Caenorhabditis elegans: one gene and its partner. The protein of the gene in region 1 purifies or fractionates together with the protein of each later gene. This does not show direct contact. Each region holds a gene or a part of one and is shown in the gene's direction. Other genes may lie near its edges.

Region 1 (5,026 bases):
AGAGCAAGTTCGACGTTCCAGCAAGTCTTCGTTTCGGAGGAATCACTCCTCTAATTTTCGGTGGAAAGCAAGGAGAAGTGATCAATAAGAAGTCTGAAGGTTATGAAGCACTGAAATCAAAATCTGAACAAATTGATGCAACTGTCTCTGAAGAACTGAAAAAGTTGGATAGTAATTGGACTGGAAATCAGTTTTACGTCAAGCTTCTCGTTTGGTTGTCTGCTGATGATACTAAAACTGCACTGATCTCTGCCAAACATGCAGCTGCTCTTGGACAATTTGGAAGATGTGCAAAGCTTCTCAACAAAGCTGGAGATGAACTGAAGTCGTCTGCTACTGATTCGCAAGCTGTTGATACATCATTGGCTGAAGTCTGCGAAAGTCTCGAGTGGAATCATCTTGCTACTCACTTTAAAAATTCGGCTCTGATCAAAAACAGAACCTCCTACCGTCTTTTCTAATTAGTGTATCATAAGAAATTTCGCGGGTTTCTTTTTTCTGGAAGCTTTTTTGCTTCCATTTCCGTTGTGAATCAAATGATTTTCCCATTTGAATAGATAAACTTTTATTGTTTTATAAATGAGATCAAACAAAAATTTTGCAGAGATACATTAAAATTATTAAGAAGAAGAATGTTCGAGGTTGCGACGAATTGATGCATGGCATGTACTCACAGAAGTTCCACCCAGTCATGTGGGTGAGAATCTTCTGATATTGGCAGTATGATTTGACAGCACTATTTCCACATGATTTTCTCACTACTGCTCGCTCACATTGTGTGGTTCGTGATACGGAGCTCAAAATTAAAAACTAATCTCAATAAGTCTGAAACTATTAGACTCACTCGCAACTGCCAACTTCCAAAACGGAACATTCAGTATAAATCGTGTCAGAGAGATCATTCAAACTGATTGCTTGCATACATTCATAATATGCCACAACTGAAATATTTATAAAACAATGAACGAGAATGAAAAACCTCACAATCATTTCCATAATTACAATAGAATTCAAGAAACCCCGTTTGTGAGATGTAATAAGCTGCATTGCTTTCTGAACCAAAAATTGCATTGAAAGTGTTATAGTTGAGACAATCATTGATGACGTCACTATGACAGTGACGTAGAGTTGTATATGTACTGTAATTATTCGTCTTTTTTAAAAATATTTATTCTAGCATGTAAAACCGGTTCTATTGAAATTCTTCAATAATTTTACAATTTAAAAGGTGTTGCAATGTTGTAATACCTTCACATACCTACACATTCCAGTGGCATCGTACCGAATTTTCTTAAATGGATCTTCGTCTGCTGGGGGAAGGCTAGTCACATTTGAACCATATGATTGAAACATATCTATATAACATTGTTGTAGCACTTGATCTTGATCAGAACTGCAGTTATGCAGCACTCCTTCGTTTCCCGCTACGGTTTGCTTCACTAGACCTGCTAAATCAACTTCGAGTGTCTCTAGCGATTTAGTAACGATCGTAACCACAACAACGAGAATATTCCAAATCATCAAATATAGGGAAAGAAAATTTTGTGTTTCGAGCAATTTAAAGTGTTTAGTCTGAAACAGAATAGCTCGTAAAATGTCGTCACCGTCAGTCGACCGGTTTATAGCTTTTCGGGAGGTTGAAATGTGTTTATCAATTTGATATGTTACGGTCCCGGAATTTTCCAAAAATTTTTATTGTTTCTAGTAATCATTAGTAATCAAATTGATAATTATTTTAAATACACTTTTTAATTCTTGAAACATGTGATTAGAATCTCGCATTATTTGAAAATTTCAATTTGGTTACGGTAGACAATGACAAAGTACGCAAACACCAGAGTATGTGACACACTTTCGTCATTTGCGAATTCGATTTTAAATATTATTTTCATATTCCCATTCCTATTTTCTGTGAATTGATAATTTTTCTATGAGTAATCATTCTAATAAAATTATCAACTAATCGACATGGACCAATCAAAGATGCGCAGAACGAATCAGTTCAGAAAAGTAAGTTTTCAGTAACTTCTAAAGAAACAAATGGCCTAAGTTTTACAGACTTCCCAGAAGCCTCCTTCTACAGGGATTGACAGTTATCCGACTCCCGCACAATCACCAATGGCGCAGCATGAGACACCTATGTGGGACTTCAACTCTCTCAACCCGTATTTCTCAATGCTCAATATGAACGATGGGATTAATTATGCTCGCCATCAACAGAATCACATTGTTACATCGCGGCCACCAACCCCGCTAACTGATTTGATGAGCCTTCGGAGTTTTCAGAGCTTTGTAAGTTAGAGTAGGCAATTTTTGGTTGTTTTCATTACTGATTTGCAGCCCAATGTGTTCATGCCGGTCTCGCGTAGCCGAACTTCATCATTCATTCAGTCTGATACGGATTCCTCGCGTCTCGAGTCGGATGATTTTTCACAAAATGTCCGATGTTTCTCTGCGGATATTGATCGTAGCAAGAGCTATGGTTCTTCAAAACACTACCATTTGAAATATTCGAGGTTCGAATTAATTTATCACTATCCTCTAGTATTTATTCTTTTTTATTTATAGACCCGCTCTGTCGAGGAACTCTAGATCATTCACAAGATCAAACAATGTGCTGCCAACCTGGTCCTTGGATTCCAATGGTGAAATGCGTTCAAGATTGTCGCTCTCTGAAGTTTTGGATAGTGGCGATTTAATGAAGTTTGCCGTTGACAAAACTGGGTGCCAGTTCCTAGAAAAGGCAGTGAAGGGCAGCCTGACATCTTATCAGAAGTTCCAATTGTTTGAACAAGTTATTGGGAGAAAAGATGATTTCCTTGTAAGTTTTAGTTTCTGCGAGCACACATGACTTTTCTTTTCAGAAATTGAGCACGAACATCTTTGGAAATTATTTGGTACAAAGCGTTATTGGAATTTCATTGGCAACTAATGATGACGGATACACAAAGCGACAAGAAAAGTTGAAGAACTTCATCAGTTCCCAAATGACAGATATGTGCTTGGACAAATTTGCGTGTCGTGTTATCCAATCCAGTCTCCAGAACATGGATTTATCCCTTGCGTGTAAACTTGTTCAAGCTCTACCTCGTGATGCTCGTCTTATCGCAATCTGTGTTGATCAAAATGCCAATCACGTCATTCAGAAAGTCGTAGCAGTCATCCCACTGAAGAATTGGGAGTTTATTGTGGATTTCGTTGCCACCCCAGAGCACCTCCGTCAGATTTGTTCTGATAAGTATGGGTGCCGTGTTGTGCAAACTATTATCGAAAAGCTCACTGCTGATTCAATGAACGTTGATTTAACTTCCGCTGCTCAAAATCTTCGTGAACGAGCGCTCCAACGACTCATGACTTCTGTGACTAATCGGTGCCAAGAATTAGCTACGAACGAGTATGCCAATTACATAATACAGCATATTGTATCCAATGATGATCTGGCCGTTTATCGGGAATGTATCATAGAGAAATGCCTCATGTGAGTGTTATTGTTTAATATCTACTTGATTTTTAATCATCAATATTTCAGGCGCAACCTTCTTTCGTTGTCCCAGGAAAAGTTTGCTTCTCATGTTGTTGAGAAAGCATTCCTACATGCACCATTGGAACTTCTTGCCGAAATGATGGACGAGATTTTCGACGGATACATTCCACATCCGTAAAAACATTAGTTTCAGTCACATAAAAATGAAATGTTTTTTCAGGGACACGGGAAAAGATGCCCTCGATATCATGATGTTCCATCAATTCGGAAACTACGTCGTTCAATGCATGCTGACTATTTGCTGTGATGCTGTGTCTGGAAGACGGCAAACGAAAGAAGGAGGCTATGACCATGCAATCTCATTCCAGGATTGGCTGAAAAAGTTGCACTCGAGAGTTACGAAAGAAAGGCATCGCTTGTCAAGGTTATCACTATTGTCACAATAATATTTTGAAATTCGAAATTCAGGTTCTCATCCGGCAAAAAGATGATCGAGACGCTTGCCAATCTCCGTTCAACTCATCCGATTTATGAACTCCAATCTTCGGGACACGATTCATTCAAGACGGATTACTTCAGTACTGCTTCCGAGCACGATGGTCCGGAGTTGGAGAAGAATGGGATCGAGGAAGGAAGCCTGATGCTAGAGCCACGGAGCAATAAGTCTTCAGTCTCTGTCAAATTTTCTTCTTCCGGTAGTCACGGCGATGATTAAGGTGGAACTTTCTCACCATAAATCTCATCCCACCCACTTATGTTCTGTTGTTTTGTAATATTTTAAACTGGTGCAATGATTTCGTTTCGATTTTAAGATCGATGTTGTGCCTTCCCCACTCTTATCATTGCCCAGTTTTGTTTTTTCTTTTCTTTTTTGTTATTTTATTGCTTTTTATGCAGTTGTGTTATTGTTTCTTTCTGTTTACTGTTCATTGTTTTTGTTAATTTTTTATTTTCGATTTTAATGAATCCAGATAAAATTAGACAACTTGGCAAAATATCGTTCGAGTCTTTGTCATGCTTCCACCGAGAGCTTCCTGCTTCCATACAATGCCTGCTCAGAAAACAATTTTGAAAGCGAAGAGAAAAGTTGTTCTTTGCTCGGAGAACAAAAAACTGATAACCGACAAATGTTGACTTTGTAAATTTAATCAAATTAGAAACCATGAAGAATAAATATAGTTCAATTATCATATTGAAATTTATCTTACAATTGCATCGATTTCAAAATAATGGGACTCTCAGAAAATAGAAAAACAAAAATTGGATACTGGGGATGAGGAAGAACTCCGCGAACATTGGCGGTCCTTCTCTCATGTGGTCCTCGTATAGGTGGTGGCAATCCTCTCATTGTTATCCAACATCGAGAAAATGTTCTTCGGCTAGAACTCTGAAACAAAAATACTTTCAAATTAAAATTGTCAAGATAAATTCGTACTTCCTGACACAATTTGTGTTGTTGCAGCGTTGAATTCGATTCCAAACCAAGTGGCAAGACCAAGACCCAGCAATGATGATGGAATAGTTGAATTGACAGAATTCCTC
Region 2 (3,812 bases), on another chromosome or scaffold:
ACCACAACTCCGGCGGTTTCGGGCGTATTTTTGACCTTTTCAACGATAGCATCCGGCATATGAAGCCATTCGAGCAATGAAATCACATCAACTCCACTTTTAACCACCAAATACAATGCGATAAACCATGCTGTACACGATGCCGCGTGAGCCGGCACAGCGATATACCAATATCTTTTAAAATAATATTTCACTTTTGCGAACAACGTTTTCGGCGCTTCTTCCGCCTTCATTTGCTCGATTTTCGCCGTTTTTGCGAGTTTTTGCTCCTCAGACATTGTCATTCTGAACATTTTCCATTTTTGATCGTCTGGCTTCTTCGGAGTGGGCTCTTTCTCGTGGAGTTGTCGACTTGTGTGCAGGAATCGTGAGCTTGATGGGGTCTGGAATTGAGCACAACAGATGCTCCGCGAGCATCGGATTATGGATCGAGCCAAAAGCATTTTGCCTGAATGAAAATTTTGGCCTAAAGGGGGTCTTAAAATTATCTAAAGTAAGTTTCCCGGGGATTTACACTCTCAACTCTTTAAACTTTTTTTTACGTCAGTCTAGCAATTAAATTTCAATTTATGGCTATTTGGGGGCTACTGAACTTATAAATACACGAATGGGGTGGAAAAAGGGGCAAAAATCAATAAATTACATTTTGTATATATAAATAAAAACAAAAAGAACAAAAACCCAGCACGCAAACGTGCGTTGACCAGTAATTTGGGGATAAAAACAATGATATTTAGTGGACAAGTTCGGTCTTTTGACGAATGGCGTAGTAAAGGCCAATGACGACGATGATGACGGCGACAGTCTCGGAAGAGATTGGAGACTTCGTGGCGAGACCCTGCAAAAAATGATTTTTAAAGATAATTATGTGAAAATGATGCAATTCTCACCCCATGGCTTTGTTGAACGGTGAAGAGTGGCTTGGTGACAGGGTTCTTGGCGTATTGAGCGGCTCCCTCCTCGTCGAAAATGTTAATATTAAAGGTTTGAGCTCCGGCGTCCTTGTGCTCAAGAGTCCATGAGACTTGGAACTTGGCGGTCTCGTCGGAAATCGAGACTGGGATAAGGCGACCGTTTACTTCAGCAGTGTATTGGATATTCTTCGGGTTGTTGCTGCATTGAAGTGTGAACTCGGTGATGAAGGTGGTTTTGTAGTGGAAGAATCCGTCGGTAGTGGAGAATGACGAGGCCGAGTACTTTGGCGACTCGCACTTGGCGCCTGGAATATTTATTGTTTTATTTGTATTAAATGTTAACAATCTACGCTTAAAATTCGAAAAATCGAGCCTTATTTTTATACAAGCCACACATTTGAATAATTTGTGTGGGAATTTATTAATTTTTCCAACTTACAAAGAGCGGAAGCGACAAGGCAAAGGGCGACGGCGATCTTCAGCATTATTACCTGCAAAAAAGTAATTAAATTCGTGTTTTGAAGAATTATCTTGTAAAATGAGTAAAATAGGCATTCTATACGTATTTTACTCGAATTTGCATCATTTTAACGCACAAAATTCATGTTTTTAGGGTAAAAATCAAGAAAATAAGTGAAAAATTCATTAAAAACACATTTTAATTCACTAAAACGATGTTTTCTCGACAGTTTCACGTAAAACAAACTCACTTGGCAGCTAGCCAGTTTGCAGTTCTCTCCCGTTCGCTGCGAGACCCACACCGCTGGGAAACTCCATGCGCCTTTAATGCCGATCCAAAATCGATCGTTCAAGAACTTCTTTTGCGCTTCAAAACTTTTGCAAACTGACTTTTTCTCCCGTTTTTCTGCTTTAAAAGTTTGCGGAAAAATTATTTTATTTATTTTATAAGCTATTTTCGATTTCTGTCCCATAAATTCGTTTAAAAAAATCGAAAATAAAAGCGTTCACTCTAAAACGAAAATTCTAGTTCCAGATATCATAAAAATGGCTTCTAGTAGCAGTGGTGGAGCAGGTGGAGCAGGTGGAGCAAGTGGAGCACCAGAAGTCAAGATTCACAACGTATATATGTCAAACGTGGAGGAGGAATTCGCGAGGATTCGAGGATTCGTCGAGGTACAGCCGATCGTTTGAATATTTTTAAAAAATCGGTTTTTTTTCAGGATTATCCCTACGTGGCAATGGACACAGAATTTCCCGGAGTTGTGGCGACACCGTTGGGCACATTTCGAAGCAAGGAAGATTTCAATTATCAGCAAGTGTTCTGTAATGTGAATATGCTGAAATTAATACAAGTGGGCTTTGCAATGGTCAATGACAAAGGAGAGCTACCACCGACTGGCGATGTTTGGCAGTTCAATTTCAATTTCTCCTTCGCTGAAGACATGTTCTCGCATGAGAGTGTCGAAATGCTCCGGCAAGCCGGAATAGACTTCACATTGCTGCAGGTTTTTTTAATATTGATTTTCCAATATTTTAATAATAATTTCTTTCTTCCAGAACAATGGAATACCGACAGCAGTATTCGGAGAACTTTTGACGACGTCAGGCCTCATCACTGATCCACGGATCACATGGCTCACGTTCTCTTCCGGCTACGACTTTGGATATTTGTTGAAAAGCATCACACTTGGAGATCTGCCTAAGGAAGAGTCAACGTTCTTCATGTGCCACAAAACTCTCTTCCCAACCAGCTTCGACATCAAAATCCTGCTCCGAACTCCAAATTGCGCGTCTGCAAAGCTGAAAGGAGGACTTCAAGAGGTCGCCGATCAGCTGGACGTGAAACGACAAGGAGTTCGCCATCAAGCTGGATCCGACGCACTGCTGACCGCCGCCACGTTTTTCAAGATCAAAAAGCAGTTTTTCGGAGACAACTGGAACCAGATTGCTCCATTGATCTGTGGACATATGTTTGGTCTTGGATCTTCGCTTTCGCTGTTCCATAGCTCCGGATCAACTTCTCGACTAGGCGATGAGACACCACAAGGCCTAATCGGAGTTCCACAACAAGCCTGAACAGATCTCTTTCCCGTCATTTTTCATGTGTCTATTTCTTTTATTTTTTTCTTCCTTTTTCCACCAAAAACCGTCTACACTGTTATTGTAAATTAGCTGTCTGTTTCGTGCCCTTCCCCATCTCTCACCCAAGTTTTTTGTGTTTTCACGCGCCCTATAATTTGTCTTTGTTATTATATCTCCCTATACTTGATGACTATACGCTTAGTTGTTTATAGGTGATCATTACTCTGAAAGTTCGATCTTTTTTATTTGTAATTTTCAGCAGCAGTAGAAGCTGGGCGAGATCGGGCGCCCCGTGTATCTTTTTATTTTCATTTTCCCTCCCCTATGCCCAAAAAAATAAAAATTTTCGAAATCTACTCGCGGAAACTTTAAATTTTCAACTAAAATAAGGGTTTTTGAGCCTGAAATTATCTTTTTCAGCTGTTTTGTCTAGATTCAAAGCTTAACAAAAGTAGTATTTCAGCAAAAAATGCCGAGCGGTGGACAGAGGAAGCACACGATTTCGAACAAGACACGTAAACGTCCCGGAAAGGATTTGGATCAAATCCATGAGGATTTGAAGCCTGAAAAGGCCGCCAAGCTTCTCCAGCAAGAGGTTTTTCAGATTTATTACTCGAAATAAACCCTTAGAATTCGCAACACTGCCGCACGGTTGTATTTTAACTGCTTTTCTACAATTTCGCGTTAATTTTATCAGGAAATCTGGCAAATAATCAAATTTTGCTGGAAAAAATGCTAAAAACTCGTAAAATAAAACTGTGCGGTGAAGTTGCAAAACTGCGTGCCGCGGCATTGCGGTGTGTCTCCGCCCTCTAACAAAGTTTCGTTTTTATTCATTTTATTCTCTTTTTTCGA

Evidence for each region. The genes of interacting proteins can lie anywhere in the genome.
Region 2: the proteins of fbf-2 (region 1) and ccf-1 purify together in Caenorhabditis elegans (affinity purification with western blotting; 2 studies listed by BioGRID, with this or other methods). This does not show direct contact.

What each region holds. Positions count from the first base shown.
Region 1 is NC_003280.10:6,088,315-6,093,340, reverse strand, and holds fbf-2 (Fem-3 mRNA-binding factor 2), read left to right. Parts: upstream 1-1,860; 5' UTR 1,861-1,968; coding exon 1,969-2,010; intron 2,011-2,058; coding exon 2,059-2,292; intron 2,293-2,340; coding exon 2,341-2,516; intron 2,517-2,568; coding exon 2,569-2,821; intron 2,822-2,864; coding exon 2,865-3,478; intron 3,479-3,529; coding exon 3,530-3,658; intron 3,659-3,704; coding exon 3,705-3,908; intron 3,909-3,952; coding exon 3,953-4,199; 3' UTR 4,200-4,478; downstream 4,479-5,026. Other genes in the region: tpp-2 (Tripeptidyl-peptidase 2), read left to right, coding at 1-461; nspg-3 (DUF19 domain-containing protein), read right to left, coding at 586-796, 845-941, 985-1,139, 1,259-1,521. UniProt on the Caenorhabditis elegans protein: RNA-binding protein that binds to the consensus sequence 5'-UGUGCCAUA-3' in mRNA 3'-UTRs. Involved in the control of stem cells and sex determination in the C.elegans hermaphrodite germline.
Region 2 is NC_003281.10:11,918,328-11,922,139, reverse strand, and holds ccf-1 (CCR4-NOT transcription complex subunit 7), read left to right. Parts: upstream 1-1,902; 5' UTR 1,903-1,919; coding exon 1,920-2,048; intron 2,049-2,095; coding exon 2,096-2,380; intron 2,381-2,432; coding exon 2,433-2,951; 3' UTR 2,952-3,312; downstream 3,313-3,812. Other genes in the region: Y56A3A.22 (DUF1279 domain-containing protein), read right to left, coding at 1-443; trap-4 (Translocon-associated protein subunit delta), read right to left, coding at 734-838, 891-1,219, 1,354-1,399; znf-593 (Zinc finger protein 593 homolog), read left to right, coding at 3,427-3,552. UniProt on the Caenorhabditis elegans protein: Catalytic component of the CCR4-NOT complex which is one of the major cellular mRNA deadenylases and is linked to various cellular processes including bulk mRNA degradation, miRNA-mediated repression, translational repression during translational initiation and general transcription regulation.